Linked DNA regions of Schizosaccharomyces pombe. The protein of the gene in region 2 interacts with the protein of the main gene of each other region in a pairwise test. Each region holds a gene or a part of one and is shown on either strand. Other genes may lie near its edges. The genes, in order: sad1, sec62 and man1.

Evidence for each region.
Region 1: the proteins of sec62 (region 2) and sad1 interact in a two-hybrid assay, tested with the Schizosaccharomyces pombe proteins (2 studies listed by BioGRID).
Region 3: the proteins of sec62 (region 2) and man1 interact in a two-hybrid assay, tested with the Schizosaccharomyces pombe proteins (2 studies listed by BioGRID).

What each region holds. Positions count from the first base shown.
Region 1 is NC_003423.3:2,301,764-2,307,299, reverse strand, and holds sad1 (protein Sad1), read right to left. Parts: upstream 3,535-5,536; 5' UTR 3,119-3,534; coding exon 1,574-3,118; 3' UTR 1,543-1,573; coding exon of another isoform or gene 1,060-1,542; 3' UTR 639-1,059; downstream 1-638. Other genes in the region: DNA polymerase delta subunit Cdm1, read left to right, coding at 1,060-1,542.
Region 2 is NC_003424.3:3,601,944-3,606,054, reverse strand, and holds sec62 (translocation subcomplex subunit Sec62), read right to left. Parts: upstream 1,981-4,111; 5' UTR 1,964-1,980; coding exon 1,142-1,963; 3' UTR 510-1,141; downstream 1-509. Other genes in the region: SWI/SNF and RSC complex subunit Ssr1, read right to left, coding at 1-257; FYVE tethering component Pep7, read right to left, coding at 2,566-4,111. UniProt on the Schizosaccharomyces pombe protein: Acts as a component of the Sec62/63 complex which is involved in SRP-independent post-translational translocation across the endoplasmic reticulum (ER) and functions together with the Sec61 complex and bip1 in a channel-forming translocon complex.
Region 3 is NC_003424.3:5,234,599-5,240,320, forward strand, and holds man1 (LEM domain-containing protein Man1), read right to left. Parts: upstream 3,781-5,722; 5' UTR 3,721-3,780; coding exon 1,186-3,720; 3' UTR 558-1,185; downstream 1-557. Other genes in the region: SPOM_SPAC14C4.04 (uncharacterized protein), read left to right, coding at 1-498; poly(A)-binding protein Nab2, read right to left, coding at 4,207-4,449, 4,496-4,594, 4,638-5,219. UniProt on the Schizosaccharomyces pombe protein: Required for correct meiotic chromosome segregation.

The DNA.
Region 1 (5,536 bases), on a different chromosome or scaffold from region 2:
ATGTTACCCTCTTGGTGGAAACTAAAATTCTGCAACACAAACTACCTGTGCACTATTTGCAGCATAGGGACAATTAACAAATTCAATAATTTTGATTTACGAAGGATGTCTTTCACGTTTGAAAGCATTATGTAAATTTATCGACTGCATTAAAAAATATAACAATTTGGTTGACTACACTGTATTTAATGATAGTGCAGTTTAATCATTGAGAAAGCCCGGTCAGTTTGTTTACCACTGTATAACTAACAGTTTAAAAGCCCTTAAAAAAAGACAACTTAATGAAACTAGATACTTAAATTACTAAAAGCTGTAAGGGAATTGAAGTTTCAACTGTCTTTGTGCTTCAATTGCAGTGTAAAAAGTTACGCTGTTTTAGCAAAGCACAAAAGACAAATTTTGCAATACTCAAAGCTATTTAACTATAAATTTTTTAAATTTTGAAAATGTTAATAAGTATATCTATTTGCATTTACGAAATTGCCTATTTTAAATCGGTAAAGACCAAAACCCTTTTTAGAAACGTATTAAAGATATGTTAGGAAGGCTGGCAAGTGATTCAATTGCATGACCAAGGCTGGATTAAGACAACACGTATTGCTAAAATACTTGTATCTAATTATGAAATTTCCACAATACTATCTGAACTAATAACGAGTATTGTTTACTTCTTGTTTGCTCCAACAACGAACTAGAAATACCGAAATAGGGGTCGTCAAGAAGTTTCTATTTTAATAATTATCAATAATGCACTTAAATACTTGGACCTAAATGAATAATAATATATATGAAGGCTGATATATGTATAACGATAAAGAACGAGCGGATGGCTGGATACTTATTTTCTCGTCAGCGTGACGCATTTTAAACATCGCTATAGTAGTCATCTAAAGTTATATATACATATTAAAAGTACACTTGCAACCAAATGTACTTTTTCAGAGATTTCTTTTGGCCAAACAAACTAATGCTCTAAATTGAGTAAACACGAAAAAGAATTGGATTTATAGTGCACCTTTCATTCTAGTACCGCAGTGTTACAGAATTATATCACGCAGTATGAAGAAGCGCACTACTCAAGCGAAAAAATCAGGGCAAAACACTAATATTCGCGACGTGTTTCCACATGTAGTTCGAAGTAATTCAAGTCAATCCCACATAGGGAAGAAAGTGAGTTCTGAACAGTCGCCTACACCCGATGTTACAATTACAACCAAAACCTTGGATGAGAGAATTAAAGAAGACGATGAGCTTTCAAAAGAGGTAGAAGAGGCTTGGAATCAAATTATGGCTGAAAGGATTAGTGAACCAATACATTGTGAAAATATAACCAAAGTAGAGTTCATTTTGCATCACTTTGACACTACGGCAAGATATGGACCATATCTTGGTATGACAAGGATGCAACGCTGGAAACGTGCAAAAAACTTCAATTTAAATCCTCCAGAAACAGTGGGAAAGATATTGATGCTCGAGGAAGCAGATGAGGAAAATCGAAAAAGAGAATCGCTCTTTTATGATCTTCAAACCATTCCAGGCTAGATTATTTTTATATCTTACATTTTGTAGGTCTTTAAGATGAATCTTGACCCGTATTCTCTGCAGTACTTTCGGCTTTCTCACCTAAAGAAGGTATTGGTTGTTCGTCTGCATTGGGTACAGTCCCATGAACTCGAACTTGATACAAGCATGTGTAATTGGGATTTCCCCAGTTGCTTTTTATTTTTAAGATCACATTCTGTATCGGTTCAGCGACAATATAATTGGAGGATTCAAACGAAAAAGTTTGAATAGAGTCTTCCGTTAAAGAATATCTCGCCTTTCCCAACAATACAAACATCTTGCTGGACATTCCCTGAACCCACAACTCAAAGTCCTTGGGAGCGCTAGAAAGATCATGAGCAATCTTGTGCTGAACGTGCTCTATTGTGACATTGGTTACATATACAGGGCGTGATAGGGAAATTCCTAATTGTCCCTCTGAACCTTGAAAGCTCCAACACATCGCAACTGCGTTGTTGGGAGTTAATGCTATGCTAGGTTCGTGTCCTCTAACAACGAGCGAATCAAAGAAATAGGAGGTAAATCGTGGTATGAATGCAGATGGTCGTCTCACATAGCGTTTTGAGGTTAAGGCAGGTAGTACTTCCGCTCCTGTTGAGAGCAATGCAAAATTCGGCATGGAAACCGGATCGGTCAAGTATTTTCGAACCGTAGATTCGATGAAGAACTTCCAATCGTCATTTAGTTCAACTTCAAATGGGACCGATGATTTGTAATTAGACATCTCCTCCTTTAGCGACTGTTTTAATTGCTCTACTTTTTGTTGTAAAATCTTGTCAAATTCCTTTTTTGTAATTAAATCTCCCGTCGAATAATCGAATTCCTCATTGCCGCCAACTTTAGAAGGTGAATCTGTGAAGTCTTTAATAATATCTGGCTTTAAACTTGTTTTGGTGTCATTGGATGCAGGAGGAATGTTTGGTACGGGCGAATTAGATGGTTGGGAATTATCTGATGAAAATGATCTTGAGTAAAATTCTTGACCCTTGTGAAGTAGAGTAATTATTAGGAGAGTCGAAAAGAGAGTGATACCGAACCAAAGTAATGGTTTAAATTTTGAGGAATAAAATTGAGATTTCCTTGTAGATCTTTGATTCATCGGGTACCTAAAACTGGCATTTGTTGCGGTGGTATCCTCGTTCAAGCTATACCCTTCATCATCACTTTCCTCGTCGATGCTGTTTTCGTATTCTTCATTGACAAACTCTTCATCATCTCCATCTGATTCATAGAATACATTCGTCGAAGCTTCGTGTCCATTTTTCACTACGTTTTCAAATTCTTCGTTATCAGATTCCTCTTGCTCGTATCGAATATTAGAGTGGTAAGCCTGTTCGAAATTGGGAGCTGGAAATCTTTGTTTAGGAGTAATTGATTCAATGGACACCCTGGTAGGAGGGGACCTTATCTTTGTATAGCGAAGTTTATGCATTTTGGAGGCCAAATCAGCCGTATTTTGATGAATCTGAGCAGAGTTCGCTCCTAACGTCGACCAAGCTGGATGAGCGCCATTTTGACGCTCTCTTTTCCCTCCAACCGGTGTATTAGTAAACATTGATGTATAAAAGGCTATTTGAAAATTAAAAGAAAAATATACAAACGAATCAGTGATAAATAAATATGTAAAAAGAGAGACAAAAATTGAAAAGAGAGTATTGGAAGGCGAGAATTTGAATTAGTGTTCGTATTCAAAAAAGTGAAGCTTAAGTAGGATTCTGTAATTGAATGCCTTTTTGATCGCTTTATGCGAATGTATAAATTATTAATAACAGACGAATTATCGTTGACGCCTTTTTTATGTGAAAACAGATACCTATACACACAATGTATGTAATTGATCCTACCCTAGCAGAGTATACCTTTCTTGAGGTATCATTCCAATTCCAATACTGGAAAATTCCTTCACAAACAATAAAGGATACAATACCAAGATAAACACACTAGAAATGGACGGTACGAAGATTGACTGCTGAGAAAGAGTTTTGTTGTGTTTACGGTAAGTGTATACACTAAGAATTTACTACGTTATATATCGCTGACAATCGATAAATATTCATAACATAATATATGGAAATAAAGCGAGAAATATTTGATGAATAAAAATGGTAGACTGTTAATACAAGAGGGTTTGAACGCTGATGAATTAAGTACTTGAAGCTGATAGGATCCAAATCCAGCAATTCGCGTGTTTATATAAAAAACAGGTTTGGTAATTTAGGAGTTTTCGTGAGAGCATGGCAAAACTGTTCAGTGAAGTGAGAAGTTTGATGGATTCAAGTAATAAAGCAGCCTTATAAAATAGCAAGTTCCATACCTATTAATATTTTTACCACTATTAATATTACTTCGTTTGCATTTAGATTTCCAATTTTTAAAGAAAAAGAACAAGAAACCGATCATATGCTACCAAATTTATTTGAAAAATCAAAAGTATTCAGTATCGTTTCACTTTTAATCAGTTAAGTAAACAGATTTGGCATTTTGCTGTAGTAGTAGTTCAACGACTTCAATTTCTAGGCATTGAAAAAACGTTTTTGCGTTTGTTAGGGATACATTTCATCGACACGAGAATCTACGCCAATGATTTTCAAAAGCAAATTTCAACAATGATCAATTGAGTAAATAAACATTTAATAAACCTTTAATAAACCTTTCTACTGTTTAATACAACATTGCCGCTGAATATTATACTTTATAGTTCGTCAAAGTAGGATTTTCGCTTTTCATCATATAGCCAATGAAATTCGGGCATTCAGTCGCTTTCAAATTGCTTGAATATTGTGCCGATTGCGAAGGTAGCAGCAATACGCAACCATAAATTGTCTAACTAACTGCTTGTTTTTGCATACTTAGGATCCCATTTTACTGCGACACTGATACGGTCCTGTCAAAAAAAAATGAAACGAAAAATTTTCATGTTTTGAGCTTATTCATCGCTTGGTTTCACTACATTCAACAGAAACTGCACAATGTTGTATATAAGGAATCAAAGACAAGCTATGCGTAACTTTGAAAACGTCAGTATTTCAACAAGGACGAAATTTATGGCACGTTTAACTTCCAATTAGCCCGTATTGTTTTTTTGGCTAGCGAAAGTAATGAATTGAGGCAATGTCGAGTAGTATTGCACAACCTAGTATTTGATCCTGTGCGCTACATAATGAATCCTAATAAATAAAACCTCAATAATCAATCTGCTCAACCAACCGTCAAAAAAGGTTCAATCATTTCAATTACTCAACGTGGCGCCAAGTATGTCTCATGATTGTGTATTCATCTCACGACTTCATTTCATTTCTGTACCTTATACACTCACTCAGCTACTTCAGGACTAGGTGTTGCGACACAAACGAGAAACCATGCGCTGGACATCATTCATGGGCCGAAACCGATGTTAGCTTATTGAGCAACCCTAAAATCCGGGAAAACTTGTGATCCATCAAAGTAGATAGAGCTGACAATGTGGAATAACTCATATGAAAATTCAGACATTGTTTGCCGTTTACGATATCTCTCGCTATGTGGAATTGATCCGTTCGGTAAGTAAAGCAGTGCAACGTGAATAGCAAATTATCACCTGTGGGTGGTGAGTAAATAAACAAACGCCTAAGAATGAAAAAAATTTTTGCAGGTGGTTCAAGTCAGGATGCTATAATGCAACATCTTGTGAATCAACGTCGCATATCGTAATGGCTACAGCAAGGAAATCCCGGAGGAGATAGTTTTATTAACCAACGTGTCGGACCGCAATATTAACGCCGAAGAGCAGTTGTATGAGTATGTTCCTAAACGGTAATAGTAAAATTACTTTATTCACCGATTTGTAACAAAGCACACTAGTTATGGTAGGTTCACGAGCCGCTATTAGGTTACAAGCTACTGTCAGGTTAGAGCCATTGTAAGGTTATAAGTTACAGTTGGGTTAGAGCTTGTTGTAAGGTTAAAACCAGTGAACCATAGTGTAGTAAGAGAT
Region 2 (4,111 bases):
GTTTTCGACGTATTTTTTCCATCAAAGAACTCAGGGTTTTGTTTTTTCTCAATTTCGTGAACTTTAGAGAAATCAAACCATTGCGCCCACTCAGGGACTTCTACTTGTGGTAACTGGCTCAACAAAAATTCTTTGGCCTCGTCTCTGACTTCTGGTTCAGTGTCCTCCTTTTTAGAAACATCCAATTCCATTGGCTGAGCAGAATCTGGTACCCCGTTTTCGTGTAAGTCATGTTTATTTTCAGTAACGTTGGACATTGTGGTGTTAGAGTCTAGTATAATATTTACAAAATCCTCAACGCCAAGGGCTTTAAAAGCTTCACGTCAATAAAATGCACTTAATCAACGAAAAATAATATGTATTACCCTATATGATTGAGGGATACCTTGAAAATTCAAGTTTTTTTAAAATGCCCTGCAATTAGTAGGTAGTGGGAGTTGACTTAGAATGACGATGTCTGGTTAACGAAATATACAGCAAACGCACTATACACTAAAGAATTGAGAAAATATTCAATATGGAAAGTAAAATTTATTGATATGAAGTTAAATATCATATGATATGATGACAATTTATACCATGAATATTAGTGAACTTGTAATTATAATCACTCCTATGTGATCAGCCAACTATAGTAAGAATGCACTCCTTGTGTCATGAGGAAATGCTATACTAGCTTTAAAAGGAGAAAAGCAAGCTAAGAATCTAGTAATTTCGCTCAAATGTGTTATAAATTGAGATTAAAAGAATAAGGGAATTATCAAACCACCTACCAGGAGTGGTACATAAATTAAAACGCTTCATATAAATGGGTTAAGCAAGAATTGTGTGTCAATAAGAGTAAATATTCATTGACTGACAAACTTGCCGTAATTAAAATGCGTAACAATAAGAAACACAAAAGAATTTAGTGTCCTCATTTAGTATATACTGATTATATATGTATACGTTTGGGCATAAAATGAGAACGCCAAGGTTTCTTGGAAAACACATTTAGAATCTCAAAGAACCTTTCTCCGAAAACATAGACGAAATAAATTGTATAAGGAGAATTGATAACGTAAAGATATGCACTATTTTTTTTTAAAGTAAGTAATAGTGGCTGAGTGACTGGATTCATCAACGGTACAACAATTAATTTTTATTCAGAGACTTCTTCGACGGTAGGATTTCTGTGCCTTAAATTCTTTAAAGAAGTGGTGGACGTAGAAGACTTTTCAGGAGTTGCAGAAGCAGCTGGTGAAGTGGCTTTTTTTGACAATTTCTTGGATTTCCTTGTCTTCTTTACCTCAGATTTGGAATTGTGCCAACTCCATAAAGGTTTAAAGCTATCACAGAAGCCAACGTCGGCAAGAAGATTGGGGAATAGCCAAATGCCAGGGCGCACGATGACAGCAGTAATGCAAAATAAGAAAAAACGTAAAATAACCAAAACAAAGAATAGACCGATTACTCCAAGGCCTCCCATACTTAAATACCAAGCACCCTTGCGCATAAACATTGGCCACAAGGGGAACAAAACGAGTGCCAATACGACAAGAGCGAACAGTACTGCCAAAGCCATAACGCGTTTTGGAAGAGGCTCGTAGAGCCAAACATAATGCATATCGTCTTGAAAATCTTGATTACGATTTATCTGTAATTCTACAAGCTTCTGCTTTCTTTGTTTAGGGGGGAGTTTATCAACGCGAACCAGCATCGAATTCATAATGAGCAATTTGAGAACTTCGATTGCTTCCTCACGGCTTGAAATTTCTGGAAACCCTTTGTATTTCTTAGGCGTATACGCTTCGGATGTTAAAAAGCGAAGAACACGCTTCACACGAAAGTAGTATACACGTTTTCCATTGAGGATCGCTGGCTTTGTTTTCAGCTCAGGGCGAGACTTGAGGAAGTTTGTAAAGCGCATCGAAAACTTGCACTTGTCTTCATCCTTCAAAACTGGTACATTAGAAGAATCCATAGGCAAAATCCTTGTTTGGAAAAATCTAAAATAATGTGGTTCTGGAGTAGATGAAGTCTGTACACGTCTTTAAGGTAACGATATTTAGGTCACGAGGTAAAGCCAAAATCAAAATTCAGTATTATAGATTTGGGAAAATCTATATTATAAATTTTACATTTAGTTTAATCATTGTTATTATCATGCTGTCGAATATTGATTCATTCTTTAAGTAAATTTGTAAAGTTGGATAGTTCAAAAAGTTAATTCAGTCTTAAATTTTTGTGCCTGTGCCCCATATTCATAACTTAATTATACTATAACACTTGAAAAAAATATTTGATTATTAGGGAGAGTAAAGCACTGATTAAGGAATACTAATCTTCAGAAGTTAACTCTAAAAAAGATGCTCTTCCTATTCAACTTAATTGATAACATTCATTGCTGTTCGACGAGGAAAGCAAAGTCTTCAAATTCATTTCATCAATAAATATTTATCTATACAATTATTCACTCATCCATCATATGACTAACCTTCGCAACACATTAACTAGGAAATTTTGATTACATAAAAGTGAAACAGCATCATTAAACAAGTCAAATTTCCTTTATTGAAAAAATCCTCAAATATCAAAAAGATCCAAGTCATGAATCTTTTCAGTGATTGAATGAATTTCCTCATGCAAAGGTGCAAGACTGGAGAGTAAAGTCTCTACCTCAGAAAACTTTCGTTTCGCTTTAGCATCTTCAATCATATTTTCAACGAGGAAAACTTGCTCCTCTAAAACTATTCTTGTTTGCATCAACTCTTCTTGCTTCTTTTCAACTTGCTCTTTCTTCTTTTCTAGCTCACGTTCAGACTCAGAAGTCCAAGCTTGGCCAACCTGCAAATGGTAAGGAATGGCCTGCAAACGCAATATGGTTTCTTGTAAATATCTTTTTGCTTCATTAACAACATTCTGCTTAAATTGTTCTTCAGCATCATTGGATGAGGGATGATTGGCGATTTTTTTCATAGTTCCATCATATTTCACACATAGCTCAAGAAATTTTTTTCGTCTATCTTTTACTATTTTCAGGGTCGCTTCAGTGATTATTTCACCACTTAGTAATTCAGACAAAGAATCCTCGTAAAGTCGATAGTAATTTACCATAGCCTGTCTAAAAACTTGCAAGTGTTCAATATGTCGGATGTAGCCAAGTGATTTCGATCTTTCCGTTTGATAAAGAACGTTACGGAAATAATTTTGATTGCAACTCATACAGATGAGGAGAGGTTGCGGGTGTTGAGGAAGACTAATCTCTAATACACAGAATCTGCAGATCACGCGTCCGCAAAGCCGACAATGCCGGCGTCTTCTAGTTAGAGTAAAAGAATTGTTGCATTCAGGACAAATTTGTACAACGGAATCATCTTGCCAATGAACGATGCTTTGCTCCAGCCTTTTAGCCTTGTTCAAAAGAAGCGCATCAAGCATCGAGACATTTTCCGATGTCCATAGCTCTTCAAGTTTTTTCATACGTTTGCTTAATCTTAAAAACTCTATTCTTCTTTTATCAGCTAAAGGTTTTCGAAAAGTTTCGAATGTTTGAAAACGTGAGCGAATTAAACCATTTGAATCATTATACCCAGGACGTCCTTCATAACATTCTCGACAAACACGACACCAAAATCCATTTTCAGAGTCGTAGGTAGCATGAATACTGAGTTTGATCTGGTACATTGAGTGAAAGTTGCAGAAGATATAACCGCATTTACGACAATGAATATGACCATTGATGAAATTTAAAAGCTTATCACACATCGGGTCATGGCAGACCATGTCAGGAACCTCTGGTTGCCAGTGATTTTTGACAACCAAGGAATCTGTGAGCTTAGTTGCTTCAAGGCCGACAGCACCTGATGAATCCCCATTCTGTTCATATGGTTCCATTCTCCAAAGACGTTGAGCGGCTTTCATTTGCAGAGCTGAAGCACCATTTAAAGTCCTTGTTAGCCATGAATTAATGGAATCTTGTCGCTTGTGGATTTTTTCATTATCATTGAAATGAGTAACATCGAGATGATCATTTAATGCTGACAAATTTGGTAATTCCAGCCCACAAATTGGGCATTCAGTGGCTTTAACGATATTTGAAGAATCACTTTGAGCACTAGTAGAAAGATTA
Region 3 (5,722 bases), 1.6 Mb from region 2:
ATTTATGAAAGAATGTCAACTACCAAAGAATTTTTAAGTCCTTCAAATATGTCTGATATGAGCTTTACCTTTGAAAACTTTGACTTGGTTTATGTGCCAGGAGGGCAGGATCCCGCTGTTTTAGAACTTGTAGAGTCTCCTCGTCTCAGTTCATTGTTAGCTGACTATATACCTTTATGTGCCCGTGTTAGTGGCACCCGCGTTTTAGCAACAATGGCTCAAGGAGCAATCGCTGTTCAGCGGGCTGCTCCCAATCTTGAGATTAAATCGACTACGACTCCACTTTATATGGAAAGAGCGTCTTATTTATTTGGCGCATCTAATCCTCCGGCTTATACTTATACTTATATTCCTGAATCGAAATACGTACCAGGGCCCAAAACTGCTCACTGGGTTTATTCGGACGAAAAGTTTTTCTATGCTTCCGGTCGTTACTCTGGCGATGTTGAACTACTTTGTAAAGCTTTACGAAATCTCGTAGCAAGTGCATTGCATTAATCTTTCTTATTTGTCTTTACTATTTTATCTTATACTAAACGTGTTAATTATTTCTTTGTTGAGTTTCCCAGATTCTATTTTAATTTCATATTCTATAAATTTCATATTTCTGCGTATTTAGAGTTATATTGCAATAAAGATAATTCAATTTGCGAGTTTGGCTTTTGTTTGATTTGGAGCATTTTATGGCCCTTGTTTATCGTTCATTTTTAGTCCTAGAACTCTAAAAGTGTATTAGACCTGTTTTAGACTGTACCGTTCAATACCGTCGAGGCATTGAATTTTTACAAACATGCCAGAACCCTTCAAAATAAGAACTGTCACATGGAACTCTTTATTTTCATTGAGGCCGGATGCCAAATGCTAATTTGAAATGCTCTTTTAGACAGCTAATGCAAACGGTTCGGGTCTAAATTTGATATTCTTTTTTTAATTAGAAAAACCAATGTTAAATTAATGAAATTTTCGAATCTGTTGATTAAATTTTTCGATAGTGTTTCAATCTATAAGCTCCTGTGCTTAACAAAGTGCAATAACTAAAAAATAATTATATTAACGTGAGGAAAATAATGTTGACATAATAGTACCTACTGATGCTGCACTCGTATCTAGATTCATAAATCATCATGCCAAACGACATTCATAAAGTTTGACCTTAAGGTCATTTTTTATATATCTAACCGTATTTTATAAGGCAATGTCATCTGAAAAAACCCCGATCCATTCCCAAGCACGATTTTTTGCCAAGCGCTCACTGTCCCATACCTTTACGCTTACCATTCCTTCAAGGACTGAAACCACCTTTTCCCATATTTCTAATTGAATTGACAAAGGGAGATGTACAAGTTCAAAAAGGCCCTTGTCATCTGCGACTCCAGATACAAAACAGTCAGAACGTAGCTGCACGACTTCTACACGAGGATTGACAGAAAAATCTGTCAAGGACTTTAGCTTGGTTTTTTGTAGCTTAGCAATACAATGTGAAACGCATACGGAGACTCCATGCTTTACTACATGCTTCTTGGCATAGACTCTTATTCGCCATACAACGGTACCGGTAATAGCTGCCAATATACCAATCAACAAGTAAATTCGCCAACAGGATATAACTGCTGAAGTCAAATACTTCATTAAGGAAACTGTATGAGAGTAGACAGATCGCAAACAATTAGTCGGAAATTTACTCAATGCCCCACGTACTCGGAGCTTCCATAGCTCAAGAGTAAATAGTGGAGAAAATAAGTAATATAGTACTTTTCTTGTCAGCTTTGAATTATATAGACGGTTTAAAGTAGTCTTCAGATATACTTTAAAATCTTTAAGTCCGACTACATTATCGATGTCCTGCTTATACATGTAATATCGATCCTTAAAATTGTCAACAAATGATTTTCCGTTTAAATTCTTTGCACTTTCAAAAGTGGCAAATTCTTTAGGGGCTTTATAGTACCACTTTCCGATAATAGACATAAATGCCTGCACCATCTCTTCAACCTTATTAACCTTCACGGTATTCGGAATACATCGTGGGTATGGTTTTAAGCCGAAATCTGCAAGTAAAGGAAACGAAGCCTTTAATCCTTCTTTGCAAAATAACTGACGATTGAAACCACATTCAGCGTTCTCAGGACAAGGTTGACAAGAGGCTTCAATTCCTAAAGAGTGAGCAAATGAATATGCAGACTCAATAGAGGAACGTAAAACTCCTGGTTGGAGATAATATAGACTAGAAGGATAAGGTTCGGCAGGAACTCCACAGAAGCCAACGCGCTGTACTTCTTGATGCCAAAAGCCTACAAATCCCAAGAGAGGTACGACAAGCAATACAAGCCATAAGGAATTTACCACTTTGGTAAAAGAGAAAATTAAAGAAATGAATGAACCAAGACTAAAGTATGGCCTTTTAGGTTGCCTATCCTTAGTCAAGGAAATATTTTCCTCCACGCGATCAATACCCGTAGTACTAAGACCGAGATCAGAAGAAATCTCATTAACCGAATCATCGTCGGGTTTTTGGGAATCAAATTTTTTCTTCTCTGGCGTCGATGTATTAGATGCTTCTAACCCAAAATTTGTAGAAAACGCAGGGTTGACAGGACGATGAATTGATGCATTTGCTTCGTACAGCTGATTTAGGTGTTCTACAAAAATTGAGGAAGATTGAGATTGAGGAAGGGGTGATGATGAATTCTTTTTGGGATGAGTCCATGAAAAACTGTTATTTTCTGGAGTGAAGTTCTCCGAATTACCAGTAGACAAGCCAACCAAATTGTTGAGTTGGTCAAATGACTTGTTTGATTTGAGATAAGAGTCGGAACTTTGTTGAAAATTTTTTCTGACTGAAAGAAGGTTACTTGGATTACATTCAAGCGAATTCAACGACGACTTGATAGGAGAAGCGTAAACGCTTGACGAACGGGAGGTAAACTTAGGCTTTAGGTTTTCGCCTAAGAAACTGAGAAAAGAACTTTGGTTCAATGGATTTTCGCTTTTTGGAGACGTCGTGTTCAATACCTTTACTGGCGTTGGATCACCCGACACGGAGGCATTAACAAGATAGCTTTGATCATAGTCTAAAAACTTTGAAGCAGGTGTTACGATATTACCAACTTCTGCAGAAAAATCGTAAGTAGCGGTGTCTACAGAAGAATCCTTGTTTGTTAAATTCTGGACAATTGAAAAAGACGATTCCATTGAGTTGTCGAGGTTTACAACTGCCGCATTAAGCTCAGTTTGCGTCTCAAATGGTATATGTGTTATTTCTTCGTTTCGCGAATCTATTTTGGCAATCTTTGAGGCATGAAATTCAGATTCTTCTGAAATGGTTATCGTGTTAGTATTCAAAACTTGAACGTTCTCGTCCTGTAACATCCCCATCACATTATCTTCAAATTGTGAAGTTTTAGAAATTTCTGTATCATTAGCCTCGTCAACCATATTTATTTTTCTCTTAGAGCTAATTCGAGCAGTAACATTATTCGTAACCCCTGCCACCCTTCTACGAGGACTACGAGAAGACGGAGGAACGTTCTTTTGCTGCAATTCTGTCATAGAGATCAAGCCATTTTTTGCCCTTCGTAGTTTACTGAAAAGCGTGATTAACTGCGCTTTCTTCGCCGTTGACGGATAGTATATTTGATATTCAGTTAATATATTACGCAAATCTACTACTCGAAGAGACGAAGGATCATAATCGGGGTCAAAATAAGAAGGGACCTCCATTCAATTAAAAAAAACCTTTTAACTAAAGGGTATGTGTATAGACGTAAAACTGGCGAATGTAAATACCAAGTGATTGTTGTCAACAACATGGTGTAAGCCAAGTAACCAACAAGTAACATAAGATGTATTTAGTAATGAATGTCAACAAACGTGGGTATTTGAATATGTATAATATTAACTTAACCGAAGAAGTAAATAAATCATTATTTGCATAATTCACATCAAAATAAAATTTTCATTCACTAAAAAGACATCAATATAACGAAAACAAATTTTTTAAATCAATTTAGCGACTTGATAATTGCCGATTGCAGCAAACGTAGCGACAAATAAAACTTTATCGTTTTAGCAATCTATACAATAAAATAAATATCAAGTTTGCAAACTCTAGAAGGTATGTTCTTAAACGAAGTATCCTGGCTTGACTATCAAAAGTAGATATGTGCCAATTATACGAACACGAAATAGTATCATAATTCTCTAAATTTACACAGAAGGAACATGAAGTTGTTCTTCTGACTCGTTAACAGCAAACGAACGTTCACTCAGGGACGTCTCTTCTGTTTTAGAGGGTGGCCGCCATGTCATATTTCTGCTTTTCGTCGGGTGGATAAAACGACAAGCTGGATTCAAACACGGTTTATATTTACAAGGAATTGGAATGGTTGACATGGACATGAAAGGTGGTAATGTAGTAACCGTAGCTGGAGATGGATGTCCCTTGACACACTGTATACGTTAGTAATAGTTAGATTTAAATTATTATGGTACTTACATCAGCAGCTTTGCATTCTTTACCAGAAGCACACATTTCACTGCTCAGGACCATACCTTCTCCTGGGGCTGCGGCTGGTGTCGGATGAGCAAATATACACTAAAGAGTTAGTTTTAACAAATTATCTGATATTAATACATACGTTAGCACGGGAGCACTTATCGGCATATTTGCACAAAGGGACCTCTTGGGTTTGAGTGAGAGCACGCTTGGCAGCAGGCATAACGGATTTCGAGTAGTTAAACGAAGCTGCCATGGGATTGAATCGCTGTTTCTGAGATGTAAGTTTGAGCTTTTGTCCGACACGCCCAGTAGGTAGCTCCTTCTCTTCACGTAACGAAGTTATATTAGGAGTTTGAGAAGATTGAGGTTGTATGCTAGTTTCCGGCACAGAGAAAGATTGCTGCGACTTGTCAGTTGACTCCTTCTCGATAAAATCGATTTCGTCGATCTTGCTGACTGACTCAACTGAAGCATTTTTTGATTTTTCAAGCTCTTCAATTTGATTAAATAACCAAAGTGAGAAGCTAGTATCAAAATCGGACCCTATTAAATCAACTAGTTCTTCATTAATTTCAGTTTGTGTTTTTCCATTGCTAAGCATCACAAGAACAAAATCGGCCAGAGAAGCAGCCTCTTCTCCCCACCCATATTCAGAAAGTTTTTTTTCAATCGAATCATGAAGTTTTTCACTATATCCAGGTGTTTCCAGTAATGTAGTCATGTTGTTGGTTTACAGTCAATAATTAACTAAAATAAGCCAAAATAATAGAGATGCTCAAATTTACAATAAATGTACTCCGAGAATTAGTAAATCAATTCCACTCCTGTTATGGAATCAGAATTTAATAAGTTATGTACCGGTATATGCTCTAAAATGAAATCAAATAGCTCAACTTAGCATGAAATAAAGGAATTGAGAAGAAAGAATACAATCACAAAAATATGTTCACAGACAAGAAGTTGGCAAATTTGCCGTTCCAAAAGAAATAAACTTCCTATAGATGATGCGTTCGGAGAGCTTCAATGGAATACGTAGACTAAAGGTAATTTCTAGTAGCAATAGTTATATTGATACTGCAAGCCGTAAGTTAAAATACAGCAAGAGCCTCAGTTCAAACGTAAGTGGAATATAAGAAATATCTTTCACAGTAAGAACAGAAAGAATTAATAAATAGCATAAAATAGCGAGTTTGCTAATTTTTTTTCGAATATTATACCCAATTT